Linked DNA regions of Elephas maximus indicus. The protein of the gene in region 1 interacts with the protein of each later gene in a pairwise test. Links are inferred from orthologs where the notes say so. Each region holds a gene or a part of one and is shown on either strand. Other genes may lie near its edges.

Evidence for each region.
Region 2: the proteins of RIN1 (region 1) and RRAS2 interact in binary tests that used the Homo sapiens proteins (3 or more experiments, as listed by UniProt). The link is inferred for Elephas maximus indicus from reciprocal best matches to the Homo sapiens genes RIN1 and RRAS2.

Annotation. Positions count from the first base shown.
Region 1 is NC_064825.1:129,477,481-129,492,389, forward strand, and holds the start of RIN1 (ras and Rab interactor 1), read right to left. Parts: upstream 6,023-14,909; 5' UTR 5,941-6,022; coding exon 5,855-5,940; intron 5,726-5,854; coding exon 5,545-5,725; intron 5,453-5,544; coding exon 5,338-5,452; intron 5,251-5,337; coding exon 5,178-5,250; intron 5,072-5,177; coding exon 4,980-5,071; intron 4,884-4,979; coding exon 4,146-4,883; intron 3,849-4,145; coding exon 3,543-3,848; intron 3,339-3,542; coding exon 3,207-3,338; intron 3,038-3,206; coding exon 2,886-3,037; intron 1,831-2,885; coding exon 1,351-1,830; 3' UTR 1,105-1,350; coding exon of another isoform or gene 1,057-1,104; 3' UTR 1-1,056. Other genes in the region: BRMS1 (breast cancer metastasis-suppressor 1), read right to left, coding at 7,476-7,483, 7,869-7,908, 8,265-8,329, 9,669-9,761, 10,337-10,433, 10,515-10,594, 10,739-10,866, 11,056-11,146 and 1 more. UniProt on the Homo sapiens protein: Ras effector protein, which may serve as an inhibitory modulator of neuronal plasticity in aversive memory formation. Can affect Ras signaling at different levels. First, by competing with RAF1 protein for binding to activated Ras.
Region 2 is NC_064825.1:69,693,584-69,708,999, forward strand, and holds the start of RRAS2 (ras-related protein R-Ras2), read right to left. Parts: upstream 7,717-15,416; 5' UTR 7,415-7,716; coding exon 7,307-7,414; intron 1-7,306. UniProt on the Homo sapiens protein: GTP-binding protein with GTPase activity, involved in the regulation of MAPK signaling pathway and thereby controlling multiple cellular processes. Regulates craniofacial development.

The DNA.
Region 1 (14,909 bases):
TAGGGTTGTCTGAAAACCAGCGCGTCCACATCTGACATGAGGGTTGATGTCCCTTTGTGCTCAGTGCCTGAGGGAATCACCTCTGAGATTGGCTGGGGTCCTCCCCCCACCAGGGGGACAGTTCCTCCCTGTGGGGTCTGAGGGTCAGCCACCTTGGACCATGTGCTGCCCCTGGGCTGCCCTCCCCCTAGGGTCACTCTCTTAGTAGCTTCCTGGGCTATGTGCGCCCCCTCGTGGTCGATATTATTCTTTGCTCAGATTTGCCACCTTTTCTGCCCCCCACCCTTGGGGCTGCGTGGCCTTGAGGCTAATTTGCTCATGGCTTGAACTCGAGGGCCCTGGTTGGGTACAGGAACCCCTAATGGCTTGCTGGGTGACGTCTTGGGAGTCATCTTTCTTTTCTGAACCTCGGTGGGGCCAATAAGCCAGGCCCTGCCTCCCCAAAAAGCATTCGTGAGGATCAAATGAGTTAAGTGGAAAGAAAACAGCTTCCAAGCCCTCTCCCCTACTTCAGAAACTTGTCTCCCTGTTGGCGGGTGTTACTTCCCCCTGGGGTGTCAGACTTCCCAGCTTGGGCAAAGATTGGGAAGCTGATCTCCAGAAGGATGACCTCCCAGAGACTGATGACCTCCCGTGGACTGATGGGCAAGTGTCACCCAGTGACAGCCCTGGGGTCGGAGGCAGCGTGCAGAGAAAGGATTTTGGGGAGAACAGGACTAGTGGAAGGGGTTGCTAACGCCTGCCTCCTCCTCACCTTTCTCCCTAGTCCAAGCTCAGCTTTGCGGCAATCGCACCCCTCTGACTCCCAGAAACAGGCAGGGCAGCCAGCGCACCCCCTTTCCCAGGTGAGGACACTGAGGCTTAGAAGGCTATCGCCAGGTGGCCTGGGCAGGCCTGGGCCTGGGCCCTTGCTGCCACACTGTGGCCTCCCTGAGCCTCCTGACACATGGGACGGGTCGAAGCCTTTCAGTCCTTGAAGCCTTCAGCCTGCTGGGCTGCTTGGCCAGTAGCCTGGTCCTGGGCTGTGCCCTCAGGGGCGGTGCAATGACAGCTGGGTCAGAGCTCCTCCCCCATGGCCAGAGGTTGGGCACAGGCGGCCTCCAGCTAGGGTAGAAGAAGAGGCAAGGGGCATTGGGCACTTGGTCTGGGACCCCCCCAGGACCCTCAGCTTTACTCCAGTCCCTGAGCAGGTAGGATCACAGAGGTAACACTAGGTGGTGGCAGACATGGGAGGAGCCAGTGTGGGGTGGCCGAGGAGGCTGTAGCCCTGGCTGGGAGCACTGAGGCTCTGAAAGGCCCTCCCAGCTGCTCAAAGTCCCCCACCCTATGTGCATCTCTGGTCACTCCCAGCTACTCCTCCGCCTTCTGGCTTCCCTCAGCCTCTGGCCCCTCTGACCCATCAGGGCTTCCCCTGGCCTGACCCTCCCCTCCCTCAACAGCTACCTCGGTCTCTTGCCATCTGTCCCCAGGGCTAGCTTTGACCCCAGTATCTCCATCTCCTTGGGCTCCTTCCTCCTCCTCCCTGCTCCCTGCCTCTAGCGGCCCCCTGCCCTCCTTCTCTGTTGCAGCCCCAGGTGGGGCCTCAGGCTGCTCTGCCTGGCGGTAGACAAGGTAGATGGTTGTGGGAAGCCCGTGAGCCAGGGCTCCAGGAGGCAGGCGGTGGTAGCCCTGATCCTTGTATAGGAAGAGGCCAAAAGTGTCGGGCTGGGTCACTCGGAACTTGGTGGCACAGAGCTGGCTGAGGGTGGCAATGGAGGCCCCTGGCGGTACTGCCAGGGTCTTGGAGGTACAGCCACTACTGGGGTCCTGATAGGCTACTCGGAGGAGGTGCTGTGCAGGAGGAGAAGCAAAACAAGTCCTCAAGCCTGTCTGGTGTAAGATACCTGGCTCTAAAGGTCCCAGGTTAGGCTCTGCAAGGGCAGGGGTGGGATGGGTAGAACCTAGGCGGAGAACTGATTGTCAAAGCTTTTTGGATCCGATGAGTGCCAAGGGGGGCTCTGAGGAAGGGGGAGACGTGGTTGGGCCAGTGGGTCACAGGGCTGCAGGCTGGAAGGACAGCCCCTGGGGGTATCTTTCAAGCCTAACGATGACAGGGGACACTTAGATGGCCTCACTGTGCACCAGGCACCAGTCTAAGTACTTGGCTTACGTTAACTCAGACCCAGGAAGTATGTATTGTTAACCCATTTTACAGGGAAGAAATCTGAGACACAAAGAAGTCATGTACCTTGTTCGAGGTCTCACAACCAGGAAGTGGCAGAGCTGGGATTTGAATCCAGGAACTGGCTACAGAGTCTGGACTCTTAAACAAGGTTCCCTTGACCGGATGGAGAGGACAGGGATGGGATGTGGCTCTGAAAACACCCAGGCCTGAGCCCAGATGATGGGAGGGTGAGGGGAGCATGGGCTAGAGGCCAGGCTCTCGCCTGGTGCCTGGTGGGCTCCTGTCTGCAGGACAGGAGGGCAGAGCCTCAGCTGGGGGCTGAAGGCGAGGACTTTGGGCCTGGGCCTGAGCCTGCCATCTGTGCCTCTTTCCATCTCCAAGTCATGCCTCAGTTTTCTCATCTGTAAAATGGGGATAATAATGGCCCTACCCCAGACCCCTATCTCCACTGGCCGTGCTGCCTCCCCCGATCCTGGTGCTGCCAGGGGCTGCCTGCAGCCAGATGGATAGGCTGCCCCCACGCCAGGCTGTGAAGATTCAAGCAATGATGCCCCTGAAGCACTCAGCACAGTGGTACATCCTCTTTCTAGAAAGGGCAGCCTGCATATTTGCTCTGGACTAGCCCTTTTCCCTTGAGAAAAGGAGGGGACAGGCCTGGATGGTGCCAGAGCCCTTCCTGCCTGAACAGTGGGAGGTGGGGCCATCTGAAGGGCTCTGTTACCTGGAAGCTGTGGGTGGCCGGCAGGCGGCGCTGCTCCCAGAGGCTGAGGGAGCGCTGCAGCTCCTGGGAGGGGCTGAGGGGGAGGGAATGCGCCCGGTCCAGGCTGCTCAGCAGGGCCAGGCTGGCCGAGAGGCTGGTCAGGTAGTAGCCACCTGGGACACAAGGGAAAGAGGGTGGCTCAGTCTAGGGGTGGGTAACCTACTGTTTCTCCTCCTTCCCTGCTTAACTGGCCCAGGTAGAAGCCAAGGTTCAGGCCCCACCCAGACAGGGAGGTCCTGTGTTGGGAAGGGAGAGGGCGGGTGGGGGTAAGGAGTCCCTTACCCTCTCCAGTGAGCAGGGTGGGCTCCAGCAGCTCTGACATGTACTCGGCCTCAAGCAGCAGGTCCGGAAGGTCACATTGGGCCAGGACCAGGCTCAGCAGTGGCAGGAACTCGTCAGCACCTGTGTCCTCCCCTTTGGGAACATGGTGGGGGGTGGCTTCAGGCTCCTCTGGGGTCCCAGAGTCAGGGCCCATTGCTAGCCTTAGAAGTGACACTCCCCCATCTGCTATAAGCTCAGGGTGATCCCTATGGTTACAACGTGGAGGGGCTGGGGAGAGGGTGCTCTACTCCCTGGGCCTCAGCTTCCCCATCTGTGAGGCAGGAGGAAGGGGCGCACCCGTGTGGGTCCTCAGGGCCGTGTAGAGCAGCTTGCAGGCCTGCAGAAGCCGCTTGACCTGGGCGCTGGGTGAGTAGGCGCGGAGCAGCTGCAACAACTTCTGGCGTACCTGCTCCACCTCTACGGGGGAGGGTAGGCCCAGGCAGGTCCCAAAGGCACTGGGGCCCTGGGCCCGGGCCAGGCGGAGGCCCTCGGCCAGGCGGCCCAGGGAGCCGTCGGCAGAGAGCCTGCGCCGCAGGCGGGCGGCCAAGATGGGCCGAAGAGGCTTGAGCACGGAGCGGTGCAGTGACTTCTCCAGCACGTGCTCTGCAGAGAAGACACGCCAGGGGTCAGGGAGTCAGGACCAGGATGGGGCAGCATCCGGGGAGAAGGGCAGAACCAGGGAGGGAGAGGGATGGAAAGGAGGAGGAATCTTGGTGAGCCTGGAGAGTGGGGGAGAGGTGGGGATGGAATTCGCTAGAACGGTGGAAAGGCAAAGTGGACACGTATGGCAGAGACCAGAACCAGGAGGCAGGAGGAAATAGTGGGGAGGAGAGCCGAAGGAGGGGAGAACTGGGATTCTGGAGAGCTGGGGTGAGACTGGGCTTTCTAGTGGGGCCTCACCCAGCCTCTCGAGCGGCAGCAGCTTCTCGGGACCCAGCTCGGCGCTCAGCATGGCCCGGGCCCGGCTCAGTGCCTCTCGGACGCCCTGCAGCTCCCGGGGCTCCGGCCCAGCCCGCACCTGCGTCAGCAGGTCTTGCACCAGCTGGCCCACTGCTGTGTGGCGGTCCCGCATCAGCGACGTGGCCACCCGGCCCACCTGTCGCTCGGGCGCCAGCAGCGAGCAGAAGGCAGCACTCATGGAGCGGAGCAGGGGCCGCCGGCGACCCAGGCTGGGGGAGGTCGCTGGGCTCCCGTGGGCCCCCGGCGGTGCCTCCTCCTCCGAGCTGCTGGGGGAGCCGCAGTCCACCTCCTGGAGGGAGGGCAGCGGAGGGAGGCTGGGGCCGGTGCCCCCCGGCACACGGTAGCCCACTGAACTCTCCCTCCGAAGCAGCTGGCATGGGGGCAGCCTGTCTGGTTGGCTGGGGGCGGCCCCTGGCAGCACCGGGACTGGGGGAGGTGGTACAGCTGGTGGAGACAGGGGGCTGGAGGTCTCTGTGGACACGCGCACTTTGAAGCTCATTTTGAATTTCTCCCGCTTGGTGGGGCCCAGGTCCCCTGGGAATAGGGGGTTGAAGAAGCACAGGGCAGCGCCAGTGCCCTGGTCCAGCTCTTGAGGGGACCGGGGCTTCAGCCGGGGTAGCACCGGGCCGTCCCCGAAGCCCTGTTGAGCTTTGGTATTGAGGGTGGAGCTCCAGAACTCTGCGGAAGAGACTCCAAGTCAAGACCCAACCGTGGGAGAGGACCGCACCGCTTCAGTGTGTCCGTAAGTGCGATAGCTGGCAGAGGCGCCCTTACCAATGCCCAGATGGGAAATGGCCTCCAGCTCCTTGTGGGTGGCTGCCTGGTGGATGGCTCTGGGGAGCTGGAGCGGGAAGAGAAGGATGTCCCTGGGGCCGGAGAGGGGAGCAGAAAGTCAGGAGTGAAGGGTTCTGGTGTCTACAGGGGCAGACCTGCAGAGCTCCTCCGACACCAGGCACCTGTGGGCAGACTCACCGGGCATGGCAGTAGGCGCAGATGAGATGGACCAGGTCTGGGAACACGAGCTCTGAGCCCTCCAAGGAGACGCCTGAGAGATGGGAAGTGAGGGAGGTGTTCTCCGGGAAACCGCCCCACCGGCTGCTCCCAGCCCCTTCCCGCCTGCCAGCCGTCTCACCCCCGGGGCGCTCCAGGATGTAGTGGCTAGAAACGAAGGACGGGCCGCTGGCCTCAGGCAGCCGTACACACAGGGCTTGGCACTGGCGCGTGTTGGACTTCCGCACGAGAAACGTCTGCGGGGGACAGGAGTTGACAGCACAGGACCTCCAGCTCGGTCCCCCGCAACCCTCGGCTGGACAGCCTCAGGGGGCGGGGCAGCGCTCACCCCCGGGGGCTCGGTCCTCAGCACGTGCAGGGCGGCCGCGGCGTTGGCCCGCAGCTGCAGCCACACTGGCCGGGTGAGCAGCAGGCGCTCCCGAAGGCTCACTGTGCGTCCGGGCCTCGGCGGTCCGCCCGTCTGTCCTCCACTGGCGGCGGGGACGTCGTAGAGCGGGTCCGGGCCTGGCCTGGGGGCGGGCACACTGAGCCGGGCGGGCGGTGGGACGCTCGCCCAGCCTGCACCCTCCCGCCCTCGGCCTGGGCTGACCTTCCTCACCCTCCCTCCACCCACCTGCGGCCCTGCCAACTTCACTAACTTTTCTCCCTCCAGGTGCGCAGGAGCTCGGCCGGCTGGGCTGGGGGCTCCGAGGGGGTCTGCTCCCGGCTCCCCAGGGGCTTCCATGGCTGGGCGCTCAGCCGGCTGCACCCGCCGGGACGCAGGAAGGGAAGCCAGCCCCCAAGGCACAGGCACTCACATTCCCGGTGGTGAGTAACACTTCCTGAAGGCGGTGCGCCCTGGCACACCCCGCCCGTTAACTCTTGTGTGTCCACTCTGTCAGGGCCGTGCCGCCTCCTCTGTTCTGGGCCCACCCTCAGGGGGCTGGGACCCCCTCCGTGCTACTGCCACTCTGAGGGCCCCAGCAGTGGGGGTGCCACCTCCTCACAGAGATTCCCGAAGCCTCGCTGGCTCCCTCAAACTACACACTTGGGCGGGAAGGGGTTAAGAGGCGCGTCTAGGTCCCTACGGGCCCCAGACAGCCCTTGAGGAACCTTTAAGTCTGTGGTCAGTTGCTCATCTTTCCCTGGCCTTGAGGTCAGACTAGTGGCAGAGTGCCCCCTACTGGTAACATGACTCACGTCTGAATCTAACCTGGGCTTTGGAATTTCAGGTTGCCATGGAGAAAGGATGCTGTGTCTCCATGGCAACTAGCCCCTTTGCTTAACTGAGGTTCTGGGGGTGGTTCTAGCACTCGGCGCTAAACAGGGGGGAGTCTGGCTGTGAGGTCGTCAGCACATGGCGCTGCTGCCGGCTGCCTCCCCCGCACAGGTCCTGCCAATCTGCCAAGCGACTGGGGCAGGTGCAGACATGACCATCTCCAAGCACAGAGCACCCTGCCCCCTTCCCCACCCGAGGTCACATGCTCTGCCTGTGCGGCCACACGTTGCTCAGACTCCCGGCAGCACCAGTAGCCCAGGGCCCAGCCCCCACCTCCAGGGGGGCGGTGTATGGAAGAGCACCCCGTCCCCAGGCTGTACCCCAGGTCGGAGTGGCGGGCTCCCGTGGGCCAGGGAGAGGTGGTGTCATACCCCAGGGCCACCAAGAGAGTCTGCCTGTCTCAGGTGCTCCCACAGAAGCCCCAATTCCCCCCAGGTAAATTAGACACACACAGGCCACACCAGAATCCCAGGAAAGGTTTAATTCCAGTCCCCACCATCTGGGGGGCAGACACGAAGAGACACCCTGAGAAAACCTGGGGAGCCTGGCTTCTCATCTCCACCTCCTGCCAGGACAGAGCCCCTCAAATATAATTTATGGCTCTGAATCCCTAGGCAGTGGAGCCCAGCTCAGGGCTGTTGATCAGGGCCCAAGGTCAGCAGGAAGATGCCGTTTGGCTTAAATGAGGCATGTTTTCTTTGTTGGGGAGGACGGAGGAGGGTGGTCTTTGGGAGGGGGCGGCGGGCTGGCTAGGGAGAGAGAGAGAGTCTGGTCTGTGCAGGTCAGCCCCAGGCCCACAGTGGTGGCCACCCCGGTGGAGGGCAGAGAAAGAACTGAGGCAGGTGGTGCTGGATGGGGAGCCCGGCCACAGCCCTGTAGAGCCCACGGGCCGCCAGGCAGATCTGAGGGGCCTGTCGGTCCACCTTTCTGCAGCAGGAAAACGTGAGTCTTGGGTTTGGTGCCAGCCGCTCCGAGGGACCCGTTGGCTGGGAACAGCAAGGTCAGGGTCCTGGACGGTGCACAGAAAGGGGAAAAACACTGAGGTGAGAAGAGGGGTGCCCCTCCACATGCAGGTCACCTCACCACAGCTCTCATCCCAGTACTCCAGGCCCACCAGGGCTGCTGCACCCCCCTGCCCACCGCCACCACCAGCCCCAGCTGGGTGCACTCTCCAATCTCTAGCATTCCTTAGCTCCATCAACCCAGAGTTCCCCACCGCCCACCTTGTTTCCTGCTAACAAAACTCCCACAGAACCTCCAAAGCCTAGGTGGTTCTCGTGGCCTCAGACTGTGACATGACCGTGCCTCTCTCTGGCCTCTTTCCTGGATGCTGAACTGAGGGAGGTGACAGTGGGGATGGGGTGGGAGGCAGTCTGAGGATCTGAGGGTCTTACCATCTGATTTTCTCTTCTGAGGGGACACAGCTGCTCTAGCCTGGGTAGGTGAGAAGAAAAGCCTTCCTGAAAGTCTGCCCCCAGCCTGGCAAGATGCCCCCCCTAACCACCACCCGACATCAGCCCATTTGGGGATGGGGGCTGCACTGAGGCAGGTGGAGGAGGGTGGAGGCGGCAGCAAAAGACCTTTGTAAGCCAAGTTCTGATGGGGTCTGTTGTCAGAGACAGCCAGCTCTGCTGCCTTCCAACCTTCCCTCTCCCTCCCTCCCTTCCCAACTGCATCGAAACCTGGGCAAGGAAGGGGCCGGCATACTAACAGTGCTCCCTTCTAAGGCAGCCCATATCCCACAGGAATGTAGGGAAGCTGGGGTGGGGAAGGGGCAGCCCAGGGCCCACCTTTTTGATTGCTGTCCAGTCCTCCAGGATGTCGATCTCCTGAAGCATGTACACGATGTATGGGCCTGCACCCGTGTCAAGGAAGCAGGACGCCCAGGGCAGGGGCAGGTGACATGCGGCAGGCCAAGCCCACTGAGTTCAAGACCGACCCAACGGCCAGGGAGGGGGTGCAGGGACAGTGTGGGGTCAGGGGTTGAGAATCTGGGTTAGAGCTCAGGCTCCACCCCTACGAGAGCGCCTGGCTGGCTGGCAGCAAGGCAGCTCATTCCTACTTCACCAAGGACAGGGAGGGGGCAGCCCACCCCTGCAGCCCCATGGCTCACTCTCTCCTCCTCTCCTCAGGCGAGATCTGCTGTCCCAGGTGCACCCCCACCTCCAGGACTTGCTCCTTCTCCTCCCCGCTCCCGCCTTCATTACCTGTTCCCTCTCCTGGCCCTCTCCCCCATCTCAAAACAGACTCCGGCCTCTTCCATCCTGAAGACAAGTATCCTCTGCCCCCCCCCCACCCAGGACCATCCACTCTCCCTCCTGCACTCTGCACTGATGTCTCCATGCCCTCACCTCCACTCACTCAATTCCTACCTGCCTGCACCTCAGCTCCGCCACAAGGTGACCTGAGGAGCTGGTTCTTCCAGGAATGCCCTGGTGGAACCTGGGAATTCAACTCGGGGGCTGGGACATACCAAGGGGATCCCCAGGGTGGTGACTCGGCCAGCCCTGGACTAGAGGGGCTCATGGCAGAGCCCAATTCTACCATATGGGATGTGGTCACCCCAGAAGGGAGGCCACAGGTGTGCAGAGAGAAAAGCCATGGCCACTAGAGTAGAACAGGAGAGGCTTCATGGAGGAGGCAACACATGAGATGAGCAATGAGAAGGTGGAGAAAGCTAGAAAGAGGGGGTGGAACCCTGGGAAAGGCACAGTGGTGGGGAAGCCTGGGCCCAGCTTGGGGATGAGTGAGTGGCTGGGGAGACATCGTGGGAAACCCAGACGGGGACCAAAGGCCAAACTCACTCAGGAAGTCCTGGGGAGTCAAGACTGACGTTTCTCTTTCTCTACAGTCCACAGGGCCCAGGAGACCCCAAAATCCAAACTCAATTCTGACTCATAGCGACCGTATACGACAGAGTAGAACTGCCCCACAGGGTTTCCAAAGAGCGCCCGGTGGATTCAAACTGCCAACCTTTTGGTTAGCAGCCACAGCTCTTAACCACTTCCCCACCACGGTTTCCCCGGGAGACCTGGGACGCCACAATAAATCTCTGACAGCTGAGTTTGCCTGGACATGATCACATGACACCAAACGACCATGAACGTGTTGGTCCTCTGTCCTCCGTGTCCCCGGGTCTGGAGCTGGCCCTGGCTGCCCCCCCCAGCTTCAGGCCCCCGTGGCTGGAAGGATACCGGAGACAAGCGGTGCCTTCTTCCTCTTGCTGGGTGGCAGGGAGTCCCAGGTCCTGGAGCTGCCTCTGGCGTGCAGTTTCTCATCCCACCACTCTGTGCCCCAGAGGCAGGGTCAGGGTGCCAGCCCTCAAGGGTGCCCCCCACCCTCACTGCCTTTGTCCTCCCCTCCCCTGGGGCAAAGAACTCTGGGCTGAGCTGGGAAGCCTGAGTTCAGGTCCGGACTGCACAGCTGTGCACCATGGGAAAGGGCACTGCACTGCTGTGAGCCCCAGGTGCTTCCTTTGTTCAGCAGATGGGGGAGGGTGATGGGGGGGATGACAGGGTGATGATAACAGCTGCTGCCTCCTGAGGACTCCACAGTAGCCTCTTGGCAGAGCAACTGACATGAAGAAGGAACATAGGTGCTGTGGACACGGAGCGGACTGTGGTGACCATATGTGGGCGTACCGGCCCGCACCTCCCGTTCTGGGGAGAGAGCAGGGACAGGAGGGCATGGGGCCCACTCTGCCCAACCCCTCACTGCATGCCTGGCCCTGGGCTGGGCCCTTCCATGCCTGCTCTCAGTCAGTCCTCTTGGCGACCTCAAGGAGCAGGGCCAATGACTGCACCCATGTGCAGTCAGGGCAGCTACGTGCAGAGGAGTGCTGGGCACTGGCAGAGCGCCTCACCCGAGCTGATGTCCAGGCTCTGGCGGTCCTCTTCCAGCCTCTGGATCCGCTCCTGCAGCTCCCCCTGCAGGGTGTCGTACAGCAGCAGCTTCTCGCTCTGAAGGAGGCCGGAGCAGCTCAGTCGGGTGGGGCCCCTCAGGCCCTGCCCACACCCCTCTGCAGGCGCCCAGCCCCTCACCTCCAGGTGCTGCTTGGCTCCCTGCAGCTCACACTCATACTTATTCCTGATCACGTCCAGACAGAAGCCCTTGTAGATGCCTGTGGAAGAGGGAGAAGGGGGCCCCCCTAAGGCAGCGGTTGAGGTATCCGAGGAGGGCTGGGAGTACAGGGCAGGCAGGGATGAGGAGGGGGACACAAGGGGTGACTGGGGCCTGACCCCAGGACACGGGACAGCCCACACACCTGCCACCTGAATGCGAATCTTGAGGCTCCGTTGCAGCCCCCCCAGAGGCTCCGTGTACTCGGGGGCTCTCTCAGCTCCCACTTCCTCCAGCCGCCACCGCAGCTGGCTCAGTCGCTCCCTAAACAACCTGGGAGGTGAAAGGCAGCCCCAACTTGTCGGTCCGTTGTGCTCTTGGGCAGATACACGCAGGGCCCCAGCTCCGTGGCAGGCCCTGGTCAGGTGCTCACTCACTCTGGACCTCAGCCGCCCGCCAACACCCAGCCTACTGCCTCCTCCCCCAGGACCGTGAAGACCAGCCCTAGGTGTGCCCGCTCACTTCTCCTTCAGCTCCGAGAACTGCTTCTCCAGGTCTAGCATCTCACTGACGCACTCGCTGCGACGTCGCTCATAGTCCTCATCATCCATCTCTGGGGACAAGAGGCCAGTCAGGGCCTCTGACGAGGAGCGGGCGGGTACCACGTGTGCGTGCGCATTGGTGTGTACAAGTGTGTGTGCACATGTGTGTGTACACTCACCGGAGCTCTCCTCCTCAGACTCTGTCTGACTGCCACTCCGTTCCTCCTCACTCTCTTCCTCCTCCCCGTTCATCTCGGCCGCTGAGTCGCCCTCTGCTTCCATCTCTTCTGTGTCCTTGCTTGGGGGCTGGACGGGCATTTGTGCTCTGGGAGAACAGGTGGAGCCATCACTCAACACTGGCCATGGTACAGAGCTGAGTGGCCGAGCAGGGAGTCGAGCCCAGCCTGACCCTCAATTAGAGGGGACAGCAGGGAGGTGACTGTCCTCGCCACCCTGACGCATGCTGGGTGAAAGGGAGCAAATGGCTCCGGGTGCACATCTCCCCCAGGAGCGTGGGAGCCATGGAAACGCTCATGCCCTCTGACCCCGTTGGCGATCCCAATCCTGGGCGAACTGGCCAAGCACCAGTTCACAGAACGGGAAAGGCCAACGACACGAGGCGTTACCACCCAAACGTCCCACCCCCAGAAAAGGCTGGGTGGGCTGTGATGGCACTATGAGAGCAGGCATAGGGAGGTGGAAAACACTGCAGGTACAACAGTAAGTGTGGCCCTGAGGATCCACAGTTGCTCTGCCTGTGACCTCCCTGTGGAAGTGGTATGAGGACGAGGTAAGTTCTTCAAGAGGCCAGGAACCAGCAGGGCTCTGCGTGAGCGCTCTTTCCCTTTCAGAAGCCCCCGAGGGCTCCCCCTGCCTATGGGACTCGGCTTAAACTTCTAGTGGAGGCTTTCAAGGCCCTTCCCAGACTGGACTAAACCACCCACCCAGCTCCTTGGCCCCAACCATGCACTGGTGAGTCCTCAAAGACACCACGTTCTCCCTCCTCCTCTGCCCATCGTGCACTCCTCTTCTCTTCCTGATAGCTTTCTACATTTCTCTGTCTTCGTGCTCTGCTCAGTTATTTCCTTCTCCTTTGCAGAGATCTCCTCAAAGGCTGTATCTCAGCAGCCCCTTTGGTGACGCTGGGAGTTCCAGCATGTACCCCTTCTCACTCCACACTGTCTGCCTTGGTGTTTGCACCCTCTTCCATGGCCTGAACAACTCGCCCTGTGATGGTGACCAGATCTCTGTGCGGGCGATTTCACCGGGGCTTAGACCCAGGTCCCCTTCCCTCCCCCCATCCCTTCTCTCACTTCTCATTTTCTGCTTCCTCTGGGACCCCACATCATCAGTACTCCCCTCTCTTCTGTAGCTTCAACTCTCCTTGGCAGGCTCCTTCCCATGAAACCGTAGATGTGCTCAGGTGTTTTCCACCATTAAGAAAATGCGAAAACACAAACCAAACCTCACCCTATTCCGCTTCACTGCTTTCCACGCCACAGCTCCACTTTCAAGGCCTTGTATACACTTGCCCTTCCTGCTTCCTCACCTTCCATTTGCTCCCATCTGGTCCTGCACCCATCACTCTCTGCTGAAACGGATCCCACTGAGTTAACCGACAACCTCCTTGTGGCTACTGCCAGTATTTTTGGGGGCTATCTTAATTGATTTCTCAGCAACATCAGACACAGCCAAGCAGTCCTTGTATTCCCTCACTGAATATTTATTGAACACTTAATATATGCTAGGTGCTGCCAGGCACTATGGCAGGTACAGGGGAATTCCTGGGGCAGGCAGGCAGTATTTATCTCCAGGAACTTACACGTTCCTGGGAGAAGAGGCAAAGCAGCAGACCACTACCACGGTGCGAGAAGAGTTAAGCCTGGGGGCACAGGGGAGGGGCCTCTAAGACCAGGAGCTTGGGGCAGCAGTGAGGGCTGCCAGGGGAGACACAGCAGATGGATGAACTGACTAGCACAGGAGGGAACATTCCAGGTAGAGCGAGTAGCATGTGTAAGGATACAGAAATGAGAGAAGGGAGTGGGGGAGGGTTGGGGACCTGGGTCTAAGCCTCAGAGAGAAATCTGGGCCGTACAGAGATCTGGTCACTATCATAGAGTGAGTTGTTCAGGCCATGGGAGAAGGTATGGCACCAAAGCAGAAAGTGTGGAGAAGGGGTCCATGATGAAACTCCCAGGGTCACCAAAGGGCTGCTGAGGAGACTCCCGCAAAGGAGAAGGAAATTAGGGAGAGGCAGAAAAGAAAAACCCCAAAGCTATGGCCAGAGAACATTTTAGAAGAAGTGGCCAACAACAGTGTCTAATCCTGCCAAGAGAGCCCCTAAGGGGGGGATTTAACCACCCTTCCAGCAGAGAATCTCACTGCCTCCTGGGGGCTTCTACTTTACTAAGCTCCTCTTCTAGCTTCGCTGGCCACTGCTCTGCAGCCCTTTAGATTGGTGTAGACTCCACTCCCTCCACGAAGCCTTCTTTGCATCTCCCTTCTGTTTGCTCATTTTCCTTCTGTCTCCCCAGCCACTCTGTGTGCCTCCCCAGGGCAGGGGCTACAAACACATCTTAGTCAACTAGCCCAGTACTGGCTCCCTTGATAAAGGACTGGGAAATATAAGTAAACAAAACAAACTCTTGCAGGTCAAAGGTTGGTTTTTACTTCTTGGTAGCTTCAGGTCCTTGCAGTGAAATCAAACCCAAAGTGTCTGTTAACTCTGGTTGACACCTATTCAAGTTGTGGCAAATGCCTGGCCTAGGGGAGAGTTTAGTCACATTCCTCAATGATTTCACCATGGATTCGAACCTGAAAACCTTAGCAGACATGAAGGTTCATTCCTCCACTTCTCGGGTCTCCAAACCAGCCTCTCATCTTTCCCACTTCCAAGTCTCACTGCGCCACCAGGGCTCTTTCAGTTCCTGCAGTTCCCTCCATCTGCAATTCCTCTTCACCGTAAGTCTCAGCCTAAGTCCTACAGCTTCCAGAAGGCTTTCCGGATCAGAAAAAGAGGGGGTGTGTGTATGTGTGTCTCCTCCAGCTAACTCTAATTTTACTGAGCAGTAAATTAAGTCACAACTTCCTCTTCTTACGTGTGTGCAAAACGGGGATAACCGTTCCTGCTCTGACTGTTGTAAAGCTGGCAAGGGTTAAGGGATGGAAAAGCAAACTGAGAAGTGCGGTGGGCATGCCATCTATCTTCTCCGACTCTGAACTCCAGGAAGGCAGCCTCCCTGGAAGGCGGGCCCCTCCCCACTTTGGCCCCTTTCGCCGCGCCCAGGAGGCTCGGCCTCGTCTCATCTCCGGTTGCACCGGCGCGGGCGGGAGAATCGCGGGCTCCCCCGCAGCCGGCTTCGGCCCCGCGGCCCCGCGGCCCCGCACGCGTCCAGCCCGTTAAGTCTCCGCTTCTGCCCCGAGAAGAAGGTTGGGCAGGACGCGCCCGACTAGCCCAGAGAGACCCAACCAGCGGCTGGGGGGGGCGATACGCACCGCGGGGGGGGGCTCCCTGGCCTCAAGTCCGGGTCTCCCTGAGAGGCGCCCAAGGGTGCCGGTACCTGCCGCGGCGCCAGGCTCCCGGAAGCGCTGCGCAGGTCCCTCTTTTCAGGGAGGCGGGGCCTCGCCGCGCTTCCGTGTGCGTCATCTCGGGGCGCCCGCCGGAGAGCTCACAATTGGATGGCTGGGGAGAGGCATGCTGGGATACCGCGGGCCGGTCTCCATGGCAACCGGTGGAGGTTCCCATTAGGCTTCGGCCTGCGGCAAAGGCCCCCGTGGTTTCCTCGCTTCGCTGCCCACGCCCTTCGGTGCGCAGCAACCGCCCCCGGCGTCCAA
Region 2 (15,416 bases), about 60 Mb from region 1:
CTAAGTGCTTCAAGTCCTCTTCAGTTTCAGCAAGCAAGGTTTTGTCATTTGCATAATGCAGGTTGTTAATAAGTCTTCCTCCAATCCTAATGCCCCATTCTTCTTCATAGAGTCCAGTTTCTCGGGTTATTTGCTCACCATACAGATTGAATAGGTATGGTAAAAGCATACAACCTTGACGCACGCTTTTCCTGACTTTAAACCACTCAGTATCCCCTCGTTCTGTCCAAACAACTGCCTCTTGATCTACGTACAGGTTCCTCATGAACACAATTAAGTGTTCTGGAATTTCCATTCTTCCCAATGCTACCTATAATTTGTTATGATCCACACAGTCAAATGCCTTTGCCTAGTCAATAAAACACAGGTAAACATCCTTCTGGTATTCTCTCCTTTCAGCCAGGATCCATGTGACATTGGCAATGATGTCCCTGGTTCCACATCCTCTTCTGAATCCAGCCTGAATTTCTGGCAGTTCCCTGATGATATACTGCTGCAGCCGTGCTTAAATGATCTTCAGCAAAATTTTGCTTGCATGTGATATTAATAATTTTTTTTTTTTTAATTTCCACATTCAGATGGATCACCTTTCTCAGGAATAGGCATAAATATGGATCTCTTCCAGTCAGCTGGCCAGGTAGCTGTCTTCCAAATTTCTTGGCATAGACAAGTGAGCACCTCCTGTGTTGTATCCATTTGTTGAAACATCTCAACTGCTATTCCATCAATTCCCAGAGCCTTGTTTTTCACCACTGCCTTCAGTGTAGCTTGTATTTCTTCCTTCAGTACCATCAGTTCCTGATTATATGTTACTTCCTGAAATGGCTGAACACTGACCAACTCTTTTTGGTATAGTGACTACTAAGGCCAAAGATGAAGAAACTGAAGATTTTTACCAACTTCTGCAGTCTGAAATTGATCGAACATGCAATCAGGATGCATTGATAATGGAATGTGAACGCTGGAAACAAAGAAAAAGGATCAGTAGTTGGAAAATATGGCCTTGGTGGCGGAAATGATGCTGGAGATTGCAGGACAGAATTTTGCAAGACCAGCAACTTCTTCATTGCAAATACCTTTTTTCAACAACATAAGCAGTGACTATACACATGGACCTCACCAGATGGAGTACACAGGAATCAAATCGACTACATCTGTGGAAAGAGACGATGGAAAAGCTCAATATCATCAGTCAGAATAAGGCCAGGGACCCACTGCACATCAGACCATCAACTACTCGTACGCAAGTTCAAGCTGAAACTGAAGAAAATTAGAACAAGTCCATGAGAGCAAAAGTACAGCCTTGATCATATCCCACCTGAATTTAGAGACCATCTCAAGAATAGATTTGATGCGTTGAACACGAATGACGGAAGACCAGACACGTTGTGCAAGGACATCACATATGAAGAAAGCAAGGTATCATTAAAGACATGAGAGAAAGCAAAGACCTAAATAGATGGCAGAAGAGACTCTGAAACGTCCTCTTGAACGTCAAGTAGCTAAAGCAAAAGGAAAAAATGATGAAGTAAAAGAGCTGAACAGAAGATTTCAAAGGGCAGCTCGAGAAGGCAAAGTAGAGAAGGCAAAGTATTATGATGACACGTGCAAAGACCTGGAGATAGAAAACCAAAAGGGAAGAACACACTCAGCATTTCTTCAGCTGAGAGAACTGAAAAAAAAAAAAAAAAACTCAAGCCTCAAGTTGCAATACACAAAAGGGGAAAATAAAAATATGCATAGGTAACAACTAAATCTAAGGTCAAAGAAAGTCAGTGCGAGAGGTAACCTTGTTTTTAAGTTCTACATTCCCAAATTTGTTGTTTACATTTTTTAGGTCAAGATTCATAATAGAAAAATACGTACGGAAACTGCAAAAATTCTGTTATTAAAGGAGTCTTAAAAGCAGCCAACTTCAGTAAAGATTACAGTCTTAGAAACCCTATGAAACAGTTCTACTCTGTTCTACAGGGTATCTACGAGTCAGAATACACTGGAGGGCAATGGGTTTGGCTTGGTTTTAATTTCCTACAAAGAGAACCAACTTCCACTTGCTAAGGTGATTAGCCTTCTGCTGCCTCTTCTTCCTGCACTTACTACTGTTAGACAATCACAGCAAAATCAGTTTTCTAGGAGTCAGACAATAGTGGTTGTCATGGATTCAATTATGACCCCCCAAAAAATGTGTGTACCAATTTGGCTGAGCCATGATTCCCAGTATTGTGTGGTTATCCTCAATTTTGTGATTATAATATTAGGTTAAAGAGTATTAGGGTGGAACTGTAACACCACCCTGACCCAGGTCACATCCCTGATACAATGTAAAGGGAGTTTCCTTGGGGTGTGGCCTGCACCACCTTTTATCTCTCAAGAGATAAAAGAAAAGGGAAATGAGGAGAAAGGGGGACCTTATACCAGCAAGAGAGCAGTGCCAAGAACAGAGTGCGTCCTTTGGACCCAGGGTCCCTGTGTGGAGAACTCAGTCCGGGCGAAGATCAATGAGGAGGCTGACAGAAAGTGTTCCCCTGCAGCCAACGGCCCGAATCTGGACTTTTAGCCTACTTTACTGTGAAGAAATAAATTTGTTAAAGCCATCTACTTGTATTTCTGTTATAGCAGCACTAGATAACTAAGACATAAATTGGTACTAAGAAAGCAGGGTGCTGCTCTAACAGATAACGAAAATGTGGGAGCAGTTTGAAACTGTGAATGGATAGAGGAGCAGCAGCGGCAGAGGACCAGCAGCAGCAGAGGACCTACGGCAGCAGAGAACCACCGGCAGCAGCAGAACTAGGGACCACTGCCAGAGAGCGCTAGAGCTGGCCCATGAAGGGAGAGAGCTGAGTACCTGTGCGCAAGAGGCTTCCTAGCAGAGTGGGGTGCCTCCGGGCACTTATCGGTGGAGCTACAGAGCTTTGGAACATTTGCCCCAGCAGGACAGATGAGGGCATGAGGCCCAAAGAGCTGAGAGGCCAAAAAAAACAGGAAGCAGAAGCTGAAGAGACAAAAAACTCAAGAATCCGAGCTCAATCAGCCTCAAAAAATATGGCCAGGACCTCTGGGATTTCAAAGGGTGGAACTATGGCCTCTGGTGTTTCTAAGGGTGAAGGTGCCACCCAGATGGACTAGGAGAATGGTGCACCTAAAGCTGAGGGAGTAGAGTTGCTGTCCCAGTGGGCCTGAAGGCGGAGCTGAAGCCTAGGGCTGAGAAGCCTCCACTCAGAATCTGGAGAGTGTGGTCAATGCCTAGAATCTGGAGGGCAGGGCCATTGTGTAAATTGTCTCAGAGAGAAGAAGATTATTTTGAGGGCTAATGTAATGTGTTCTGCTGACTTGCTTGGTGCCTATTATCCTTGCTTTTCCTCCAGTTTTTCCCATTTGTAATGGAAATGTCTAGCTTGTGCCTGTTCTGCCATTGCACCTTTGGAAGCAGATAACTCATATGCTAGATTTCACAGACGAAGTGGAATTTTTGGATTTTGGACTTAGAGTTAAGACTTTTGCTATGATATGATGTGATGAATGTGTTTTGTATGTTGCAAGAATGTGATGGGGGGGGCCGAAGGGTGGAATGTCATGGATTGAATTATGTTCCCCCAAACACGTGTCTATCAGTTTGGCTGGGCTGTGATTCCCAGTATCCTGTGGTTGTCCTCCATTTTGTGATTATAATTTTAGGTTAAAGAGGATTAGGGTGGGATTGTAACACCACCCTTACCCAGGTCACATCCCTGATCCAATGTTAAGGGAGTTTCCCTGGGGCGTGGCCTGTACCACCTTTTATCTCTAAAGAGATAAAAGGAAAGGGAAAGGAGCAGAGGAGGGGGCCTCATACCACCAAGAGAGCAGTGCTGGGAGCTGAGCACGTCCTTTGGACCCGGGGTCTGAGCGGAGAAGCTCCTAACCTGATAGAAGATTGATAAAAAGGCTGACAGAGAGAGAAAGCCTTTCCCTGGAGCTGACACCCGAAATTTGTACTTTTAGCCTACTTTACTGTGAAGAAATAAATTTTTCTTTGTTAAAGCCATTACATTTCTATTATAGCAGAACTAAGACAGTGGCTCTAGTAAATACAGTAGCTCTACTCGACGGAAGTGGGTTCTAGTAAATACAGATGATAAACAAGTCACCTTAGCTCCGTCATCTAAGATTGACCAACAACATCGTATGTAGCCTTACTATGCACTAGACATTGTTCTAAGCCCTTGACATATGTTAACTAATTTTATTTTCACAATGACTGTATGTGGTACTTTGTATTTCCTCAGTTTACAGATGGGAAAACCTGAGGTACAGAGAGGTTAAATAATTTGCCTAAGTGTACACTAAGGAGCCCTGGTGGTGCAATGGTTAAGCGCTCAGCTGCTATCAGAAAGGTTTGCAGTTCAAACCTACCCAGCGGCTCCACAGAAGAAACCTGACGATCTGCTCCAGTAAAAGATCACAGCCAAGAAAACCCTACGGGGCAGTCCTACTCTGTCGCACAGAGTCGCCGTGGGTCAAAAACAACTTCATGGCACCTAACAACAAGATTATACATGCAGCAAGTGGGAGAGCTGGACTCCATCCAGGTGGTCTGGCTCCTGCCTCTCCAGAAAGTGTCAACTTCAAAGCCCACGTTCCTCACCTTTACTGGCCCCCAAGCTGCCTGTCTATCACACTCCCTACCCCTAGCCTGCCTCCTCTCTCCAAGCTAAGACCAGACTCTCCCATTCTTACAAATGACATATCTACTCTCCTCACCACTAAGCATACATGGTACTCCTATTAACTCTTCCCAAACTGACTTCTCCCTGATTCTGAATTCCCATCGCTTATGTGTGTTACGGTACTACATACATATACTATTGATACAACAGCTACCACTAACTGAGCACTTACTATGTGCAAGACACAATGCTAAGAACTTTCCCATAATTTAAAGGGTTATAAAGAATGTATAATCAGACCCATTTTACTGATGAGAAAATTAAGGCTCAGAGAGGCTGAATATCTTGGTGACGTTCTCACAGCCAGTAAATAACAGAGCAAAATACAGAGCTCAAGTCTGTGACTAATCGTTCACTCTCCTTCCCTATGTATATATCCATGTCCTTATCAGGCATACATGTCCCTTTTACTTCTTTTATACCATCTAGAGCACCTAGATAAACCCTGGTGGTGTAGTGGTTAAGAGCTACCGCTGCTAACCAAAAGGTCGGCAGTTCAAATTCACCAGGTGCTCCTTGGAAATCCTACGGGCAGTTCTATTCTGTTCTTATACGGTCGCAATGAGTAGGAATCAACTCAACTGCAATGGGTTTCTTTTTTTTGGCACCGAGGTACAGCACTATTCATAAAGCAGGGATTATCTCAACAAATTCCAGAAAATCGTTAGGAAAACAGCAATGACCATTAGTTTCGTGATTTCTAATACTATTTTCCAGAACAGAAAGTTCTGATATCTTAATTAAAATAATCAGGTTGCATATTTAAATACATTCAGATAATACCTCCCCAAAAAAGTTAATATTTGTGGTTCAAATCTTTTAGATAACCCTATTTATCAATGCTGGAGCCCAGGATTATTCATTCTCCCACTCCTCCCTCACAACGCTAACCATCAGACTATAGTCTCCAGAGAAAAGGTTAGCTATAAATTGTTTTGCTTTGCTATCTGTTACTTAAAGCCTCTTTGGGTCCTAGGGAAACATGACAGCATCCCTGATTCCACAGCCTACTCAACTTAAACCAATCTCGCCTCTTAGTGTGATTTTTTTTAACCCACTAATGAGCCTACCGTAAATGCTCGTTGCATAAACATTCTCTTTTCCTGGATACAAAGGTTTTAAGCAGCAGTTTTTAATCCCTTGGAATATTACAGCAGCAATTTTTATTTATTTTTTTAAATCATTGCTCTTTTAGTCAATGTGAAAGGTTAACAGTCATTTATGCTACAGTACACTGTATTTTAACGTCACTATAAACGTCGCTAGGAGTCGGAATCGACTCGACGGCACTGGGCACTGGTATAAACGTGAAATGAAATAAGATATTCAAGTACCCCCAACTGATGACAAAGGGGTGAAGCAGAAACCAGAAATAAAATAAGTATTTCACCAAAGCCTCTTAACAGTAAGAATATATTTCTCACCGGTTTTAACTGGCTACCTTCGTTCTCTATCAGAATATGCCACACCTACTAGATGGACAAAAGCAGAAAGATACCTGGGTTACTCTTTTTAAAAATCCCAAAGAGATCACTTAACCTTTTTAACCTAGATGAAATTCTAAGAAAGGAGAATTCCACCTCCCTTTTCTTTTTTTTTTTTACCACAGAAACCCTGGTGGCATAGTGGTTAAGAGCTATGGCTGCTAACCAAAAGGTTGGCAGCTGGAATCCATCAGGCGCTCCTTGGAAACTCTATGGGGCAGCTCTACCCTGTCCTATAGGGTCGCTATGAGACGCAAGCAATCGACTCAACAGCAACGGGTTGGTTGGTTGGTTTTCTTTACCACAACCTTTGACTTCTGGCCTGTAGCAAGAGAGGGTTGGGGGTGGGGGAAAGGATGGTTAGAGCACAGAATGCACGACTCAGTCACCCCTTAACCTGACCCAGCCCAAACTTCACCTTGGCACAGGGAGAAGCAGGAAGGCATCAGGCATTCCTAGGAAGTGGTCTCACGCCTATCGGAGAACATTTTTAACTTCCTCGAAGCCACCATTTCCCTGGGGTATTATCATACACTACCCCCCGAACATATTACCTAAGAGATAACTTAAAAGCACACACACACAAAGAAAAACACACTGTTTGAACTGGGCAGCTCCGGGGCAGCTAGCGCGGTGAAACTCAGAGACCACGCAGAGCGGTGGCCAAGTTGCCACCGCGATCCCAAGCACGGCGCCGGAGGCAGCCCGGTAGCGGCTGGAAAACCAGCGCTGGGTTCCAGCCTCACGGCCAACGCGAGGGCGCTCGGAGCAGGAAGCCGGGCTCAGCGGCGCTGCCTCTACCGGAGGGCTCCGGCCCGCGCCGGAGCGATAAGGTGGATCGGCGCTTCCCAGCCGGCCAGCTCCGCCCTCCCGGCCACATTCCTGAGAAGCCCGACTCCCGGAACGTCGACCCCGTCGCCCGCCGGGCGGGCAGGAGCACGGCGCCGCGGCCGCAGGGCAGAAGGGCAGAGCCGGCCCTGCGCCCGCCCCCGGCCCGGCCCCGGCCCCCACGCGGCGCCTCCGGGGCGGTGTTGCGGCGTCCGCCCCGCCACAGGTAGCGCGAGCCCCCGCCCGCCGCCGCCCCGGCGCCCCCGGCAGGCCCGCTTCAGGCACCTGGATAAACTGGATGGTGAGCGCCGACTTGCCCACGCCGCCCCCGCCGACCACGACGAGCCGGTACTTCTCCTGGCCGGAGCCGTCCCGCCAGCTGGCCGCAGCCATGGGGACGCCGCCGAGCCCTGCCCGGCCGCACCAAGCCGCCGTTCGCCTTAGGCCCGGCTCCGGGGACGTGTGCGGCCGGCGGGCTGCGAGCGAGCGGCCGGGCGGGGGTCCCCGGCGCCGGGAACTGCTGGGAGGGTCGGTCCGCACGGCAGCTCGGCACCCGGGGCTGGCCCGGTTCCGCCTGAGACGCGGAGAAGCGGGGCGTCCACAGAGGCCAGAGGAGGCAGCGGCGAGGGGCGCGCTTCTCTACTCGTCTTCTCAGCGCCTGCCGAACGCAGCCTCCAGCGCCGCTACAAATGGCCGTCTGGGGGCCGTGCTGATATGCTGAGGTGCTGCATATGCATGAGGGGGCGGGGCCGGGGCGGGGCCGCAGTGGCCTGAGGCTGAGATTTGGGAGTTGACGAGGCTTCTGACCCCCACGGATGTGCCTCTTTTATCCCTGGGCTGTATGTACGTAAGAGCGTGGGTGCGGGTAAGAATGGCTGCGGGAAGAAGACAGTAAAACAATGTGTGGCCATAATGGTATATGTCAGGGATTGTGCAGATAAAAAGTACAGTATGTGATGGCGTATGGGTGAGAAATAGAGCTGTTGTCATCTTAACTTGTAGGAGAGTAACTGTCGTGTTTAAAGAGTACAGACGGTGACCATGGTTGTGTGAAAAAACCGTACGTGACAGTGATTGAGAATTAGAGCTGTGTTACAGTGATTGTGTGTGTGAGGAATGTGACAGTAGAATAAGGAATAAGCATGGAATGAGGAATAAGTCATAAGCATGTGTGGACAAGAGTGAATGTGATGGATATTGTATGTGTCAGGAGACTGTCTTAGGGACTGTATTTATGTGCGAGAAATATGTGGTAACTGTATATGAAGAGTGAGTGTGAGTGTGAGAGATGGGTTTGAACTTACTGAACATACTACGCATACCAGGCACTGTGCTCAATGCTAGAAATGTATTAGTGAACAGAATAATGTCTCTGACCTCGGGTAACTTAGAGTCCAGTGGTGGGCATAGTCGGGACAACAGGCAAATTACAAAGTATAATGACAAAAGTTATAACTTCATAAGCACACATTGCATGTGTGCCCGTAGTAGATGTTCTCAACCTGGAGTTGGATGATCAGAGAAGACCTCTAAAAGACCTGAAGATAAATGATATAAATAGGTGAATAATTGGAAGAAAAGTATTCCAGGGAGAAGAAACAGCATATGCAAAGAAACACCATTGTGCCACATGGTTTCAATGTGTTAGGGGAGATTGCATGATCGTAATCATGAATGAAAAAATGATTATGTATATGACCGCACAGATACTCTGGACATGTCACCAGGAGGGACCAGTCCCTGGAGAAGGACATTATGCTTCAGGGTCAATGAAAAAGAAGAAAACCCTCGTGAGCTAGATTGACACAGTGACAACAACAATGAGCTCAAATATAGGAACAATTTTGAGGATGGTGCAGAACCTGGCAGTGTTTCACTCTATTGTACAAAGGGTCACTATGAGTCTGAATTGATGCCACAGAACCTAACAACAACAACAATGTACATGACAGTTTAACCAAATGTAACAGGACTCAGCTCTAGGTAGAGGTGGCATAGGATAGTAGTTAAAGGCATGGGCTCAGGGGCCAGATTCAATGGATTCAAATACAACTAATGGAGTGTGATGGTGGGAAGTTGCCTTTCTGCCTGAGTTTCCTCTTCATTAAAGTAAGAGTAATAAGACTACCTACCTTATGGAGTTTTTAATAAGAATGAAATGAGTTACTGCATGTAAAGCATATAAAACATCCTTGACATATAGTAAGCATTTATGGTGGTTTTAAGACATGAATGCAAGATATTGGATACCATAGTGATTTTAGTGACTCACTCATCACCAGGCTAGTGCAGCAGAAGAGATGCTACATAACTTTGGAGGCTAAGTCAGAAGACATCATGCAACTTCCACATGTTCCCTAAGGATAGTTGCTGGGAGAAACAAAATAAAAGGCAGTTTGACTACCCTGAGACTGCCATGCTGGAGAGCCACATGTAGGTATGCCAATGGAAAGTCTAGATGAGGTCTCAGCAGACGACTACTATCAACTACCAGCAGTGTGACTGAGCCATCTTGGACACCCAGCCCAGCTGAGCCCTTGGATGACTGCAGCCCCAGCAGGCATGAGACTGTAACTGTATGAGAGGCCCCAAGCAAGAACTGCCAGCTGAACACTTCTTGATTCCTGACCCACCGAATAACGAGCAAAATAAAATAGTAAAACGGTTATTTTTAAAAATTTTAGAAATAATTTCAATGTATAAAGTATAAAGAATACCCATATACACTTTATCCAATTTTTCGCACATTGTGAACATTTTACCCCATTTGCTTTATCATTCTCTCCTCTGTCTCTCTCTCTAGGTATATATATATAAGATATATAGATATAGATATATAGAATCCAGTCTAGGGTCAGGCATTGCATTTAGTTGTCAAATCTCTTCAGCTTCTAGTAATATGGTACAAAATGGTTCGTTTATATATACATATATATAAAACAACCCCCAAAAAAACCTATCGTCTTCGTGTCGATTCTGACTCACACTGACCCTATAGGACAGAGTAGAACTCCCTTTCCAAGGAGCACATAGTGGATTCAAACTGCCAGTGTTTTGGTTAGCAGCCATAGCTCTTAACCATTATGCCACCAGGGTTTCATGTATTTTATATGTATATAAATATAATTTATAATGAGCTATTCAACTGTAAGTTACATACAACATGATCCTTTACCCCTAAATACTTCAGTGTGCATTTCCTAAGAACAGGGATACTCTCCCCCGTATCTACAGTACACTTATCAACTTCAGTCAATTTAACATTGATAGGCATATTTTTATCTAATTTACTATTTGTATTCCAATTTTGTCAGTTGACCTGATAATATATTTTAGAGCATTTTCCCCTTCAGTACAGGATCCAGTCTAGAGTCGGGCCTTGCATTTAGGTGTCAAATCTCTTCAGCTTCTTTTAATAGGTTGGTTAAGCAACTGTTTTGGATATTGTTATGCAGCAGTAGTAGCTAAAACAGCCTTCAATGTCATATCATCAATGCAAAAAGAGGGAGGAGAAAAATGAGAGAGAAAAGAAAGGAAGCCCATGACGAGGAAGGACTGTGAACGGGCCAGACATGCTTCCCACAGACGCCTTTCAGTGAATGCGTAGCCCTGAAATCTCCTATAATCTTTTACATCCAAGATGGCTAAAGAATTCTGCTCAGGCCCCTTCTCGTCTAAAGTGCAACCCAAATCTTTCTCCCCTTTCAAAAAGACACAGAAACCAGAAAACATTATCAAATTCTAAGAATATCCAAAAGAAAGTTATTCCTGAACAAAAATACATAACTATACAAGCCACAACCATTTGGGCTGGGGGAAATCAAGTATCAGTGCTAAAACAATTGGAATGAATTCCTTTGTTTTCTGTTATTCTGCATCTGACGGAGGAATGCTCAGGGGCTTCTTAACTTCATGATAACCTGACGAACAAAAAACCAAACCAAACCTGTTGCCATGGAGTCTATTCAAACTCACAGCGACCCTATAGGACAAAGTAGGATTGTCCCGTAGGGTTTCCAAAGAGTGGCTGGTGGATTCGAACTGCCAACCCTTTGGTTAGCAGCCAAGCTCTTAACCACTGCACTAACCAGGGCTAGTAAAAGAAAAAGAGGAGGAGGCAGTGATAAATAGTACAAGCTGGTGAGCCCATAGTCCCTGAGTGGTGCAAAAGATTAAGAACTAGGTTATTAGCTGAAAGGTTGGTGGTTCAAACCCACTCAGAGGCGCCTCAGAAGACCTGGCTCTCTGCTTCTGAAAGATCACAGCCTTGAAAACCCTGTGGAACAGTACTATTCTGTACACATGGAGTTGCCAGGAGTTGGAATAAATTTGATGGCTACTAACAACAATAACAACGGATGGCCCATATGTGCCATATGACTGGAGTTTTCAGAGTAAAGGAGAAACCTGTTTGCTGAACTGCTTCTCTGCCTGGGTCTTCACTGAGGTTTCCTTTCCTTCTTACTCTTCACTGGCTTCAGTGATAGCGCTTTCCCTGGGCTGGAAGTAGGACCTGTCATGTGCCCTGAGCCATCTTTCCAGCCTTGGAGGAGGAAAAAATTAACAAACATGGGGAAAAATAATCTGCTGCTCCCCTAAGCTGGGAACTCAGGGCAGAAACAGCTCCTTTGCCTAGGTACAGACATAAGCAGTGCACAGACTTTGAATGCTTTTTACCCCTGCATAGACATGTGTGGGCCCGTTTCAACAGCCTAGGCCCTCATTCGCACAGTACAACAGGGTATATACCTGAAGTCTAACTTCAAGTGTTTCAGCTATGTGGTGAAGACGGAGGTTAGTGACATTTGACACCACTCTGCCTATTAAGCAGGGTCCTCACCTACCCCCATCAGGAGCCTGAGGACCAGTGGCTTCACCCATGCCACCTAGCCACCCTCGACAGGGGTCCAAGGATAAGTGATGCCTCCCAGTCCTGACAGTCAACAGCATTGGGTGCTCATAGTCCAGCTGCAAAACCCACCCACCTTACACACTCTAGGGAACAGGGACATGCTTTCCACACAGACATTCAGGGGTGGTTGTCGGTCCTCTGCCTTGCTCAACACATGACTCTCTACTGCAGCACAAGACACTCTTCTGTGCCTACACCAATCACCTCTGCTTGTCTAAGACTGTAGGTGAGATCCTGCACCACACACATGGTGACCGACTACCTGGATACCTGAGCTGAATCCATACAAGAAAAGTGAATGGACTCCTGAGCTCATAAAAAAAAAAAAAAACACCTAGTAACAACTCTAACCACCTAGTGACAGGATGTTAGAGCTTCAAATGTGCCAATAATCAAACTAGCTCATGTGAGCAGCCAATTTGGGCATATCAAAACAAGAAGCTAGGACATAGTAAACAAACCTAAAATAAATAAATACAATAACTCATTGATGGCTCAAGAAATCTTCCAGATGAAGAGAAATTCCTGGAACTACCAGAGGTAGAATACAAAAGATTGATATACAGAACTCTTCAAGAGATCAGGAAGGAGATCAGGCAAAAGGCAGAACAAGCCAGGGAATGCACAGACATAGCATTAGAGGAACTTAAAAAGACTAGAGAACAGCATAATGACAAATTGAATAGGCTTCAAGAATTCATAGAGAGACAGCAAACAAATTCAGAAGGTTAACAATAAAATTTCAGAATTAGACAACTCAGTAGAAGGAGGAGCAGAATTAAGGAAATTGAAATCAGAATCAGTGAGATTGAAGATAAAGCACTTGACACCAACATATTTAAGGAAAAATCAAATACAAGAATTTTAAAATGAAGAAACCTTAAGAATTATGTGGGACTCTATCAAAAAGAAATAACCTATGAGAGATTGGAGTACAAGAACAGGGGAGGATAACAGATAATACAGAGAGAATTGTTAAAATCTGTTGGCGGAAAACTTCCCTGATATCATAAAAAATGAGAAGATATCCATCCAAGATGCTCATTGACCCCCACACAGGGTAGATCCCAAGAGAAAGTCACCAAGACAATTTATAATCAAACTTGCCAAAACCAAAGATAAAGGGAAAATTTAAAGTGTGGCTAACGATAAACGAAAAGTCATCTACAAAGGAGAGTCAATAAAACTAAGCTCACACTACTCAGCAGAAACTATGCAGGCAAGAAGGCAATGGGATGAAATATAAAGCTCTGAAGGAAAAAATTGCCAGCCAAGAATTATATATCCAGCAAAACTGTCTCTCAAATATGAAGGAAAAATTAGGATATTTCCAGATAAACAGAAGTTTGGAGAATTTGCAAAAACCAAACCAAAATTACAAGAAATACTAAAGGGAATCCTCTGGTTATAAAATGAATAACATCAGATAACAACCCAAAACTAGAACACAGAACAGAGCAACCAGATATCAACCCAGACAGGGAAATCACAAAAATAAATCAAAGCTAAAATGTTCAAAACCGGAAAACAGAGACATCATTATGTAAAAGATGACAACATTAAAACAAAAAAGAGGGACTAAAAAATGTAGTCATGTATCTTTCATATGGAGAGGAAGTCAAGGCAATATAAAGACATAAAAGTTTGCTTTAAACTTAGAATAGGGGTAAATATTAAGGTAATGAAAGGGAAACTAACAATCCTACACATCAAAATAAAGAAACAACAAAAACATAAAGACTCATCAAATACAAAAGCAACAACAATGAAAAAGAGGAAAAGACAATATATGAAGAAAAACTATTCAGCACAGAAAATTAAGTGGAAAAAAGAAACTGTCAATAACACACACAAAAAAAGACATCAAAATGACAGCACTAAACTCATACCTATCAATAATTACATTGAATATAAATGAACTAAATGCACCAATAAAGAGACAGAGAGTGGCAGAATGGATAAAAAACACGATCTATCTATATGCTGCCTATAAGAGACACACCTTACACTTAAAGACACAAACAAACTAAAATGTAAAGGATGGAAAAATATATATCAAACAAACAAAAATCAAAAAGGAGGAGTGGCAATATTAATTTCTGACAAAATAGACTTTTAAGTAAAATATACCACAAAAGATAAGGAAGGACACTATATAACAATTAAAGGTTGAATATACCAGGAGGACATAACCATAATAAATATTTATACACCCAATTACAGGGCTCCAAAATACATAAACCAAATTCTAACAGCATTGAAAAGAGAGATAGACAGCTCCACAATAATAGTAGGAGACTTCAACACAACACTTTTGGTGAAGGACAGAATATCCAAAAGGAAGCTCAATAAAGACCACGGAAGATCTAAGTGCCACAATCAACCAACCTGACCTCACAGGCATATAGAGAACATTCCACTCAACGGCAGCCAAGTATACTTTCTTTTCCAACGCGCCTGGAACATTCTCCAGAATAGACCACATATTAGGTCATAAAGCAAGCCTTAACAGCATCCAAAACATGGAAATATTACAAAGCATCATTTCTGACTATAAAGCCATAAAAGTAGAAATCAATGACAGAAGAAGCAAGGGAAAAAATCGAACACATGGAAACTGAATAACACCTTGCTCAAAAACTACTGGGTTATAGAAGAAATCATGGACAGAATAAAGAAATTCATAGAATCAAATGAGAATGAAAACACTTCCTACCAGAACCTTTAGGACATAGCAAAAGCAGTGCTCAGGGGTCAATTTATAGCAATAAATGCACACATCCAAAAAGAAGACAGGGACAAAATCAAAACATTAACCCTACAACTCAAAGAAATAGAAAGAGAGCAGCAAAAGAAGCCCTTGGCCACTAGAAGAAAGCAAATAATAAAAATTAGAACAGAATTAAATGAAATAGAGAACAGAAGAACAATTGAAAGAGTTAACAAGACCAAAAGTTATTTCTTTGAAAAGATCAACAAAATCGATAAACCATTGGCCAAATTAACAAAAGAAAAACAGAAGAGGCAAATAACCCAAATAAGAAAAGAGATGGGTAATATCATAACACCCCCAAATGAAATTAAAAGAATCATAAGAGTACTATGAAAAATTATGCTGTAACAAATTTGAAAACCTAGAGGAAATGGAAAAATTTCTAGAAACACACTACCTACCTAAACAAACACAAACAGAGGTAGAACAACTAAATAAACCTATAACAAAAGAAGAAATTGAAAACGTAATTAAAAAACTCACAACAAAAAAAGCCCTGGCCCTGTTGGCTTCACTGGAGAATTCTATCAAACTTTCAGAGAAGAGTTAACACCACTACTACTAAAGGTATTTCAGAGCATAGAAAAGGATGTAGCTTGGGAATGACTGACCTCACCCCAGCTCTAAGGGTTGACCTCCACTGGCCACAGTAGTTAGTTGCAGGATGGATATATGACCTAAGTCAGGCCAATCAGGAATAGATTCCATTG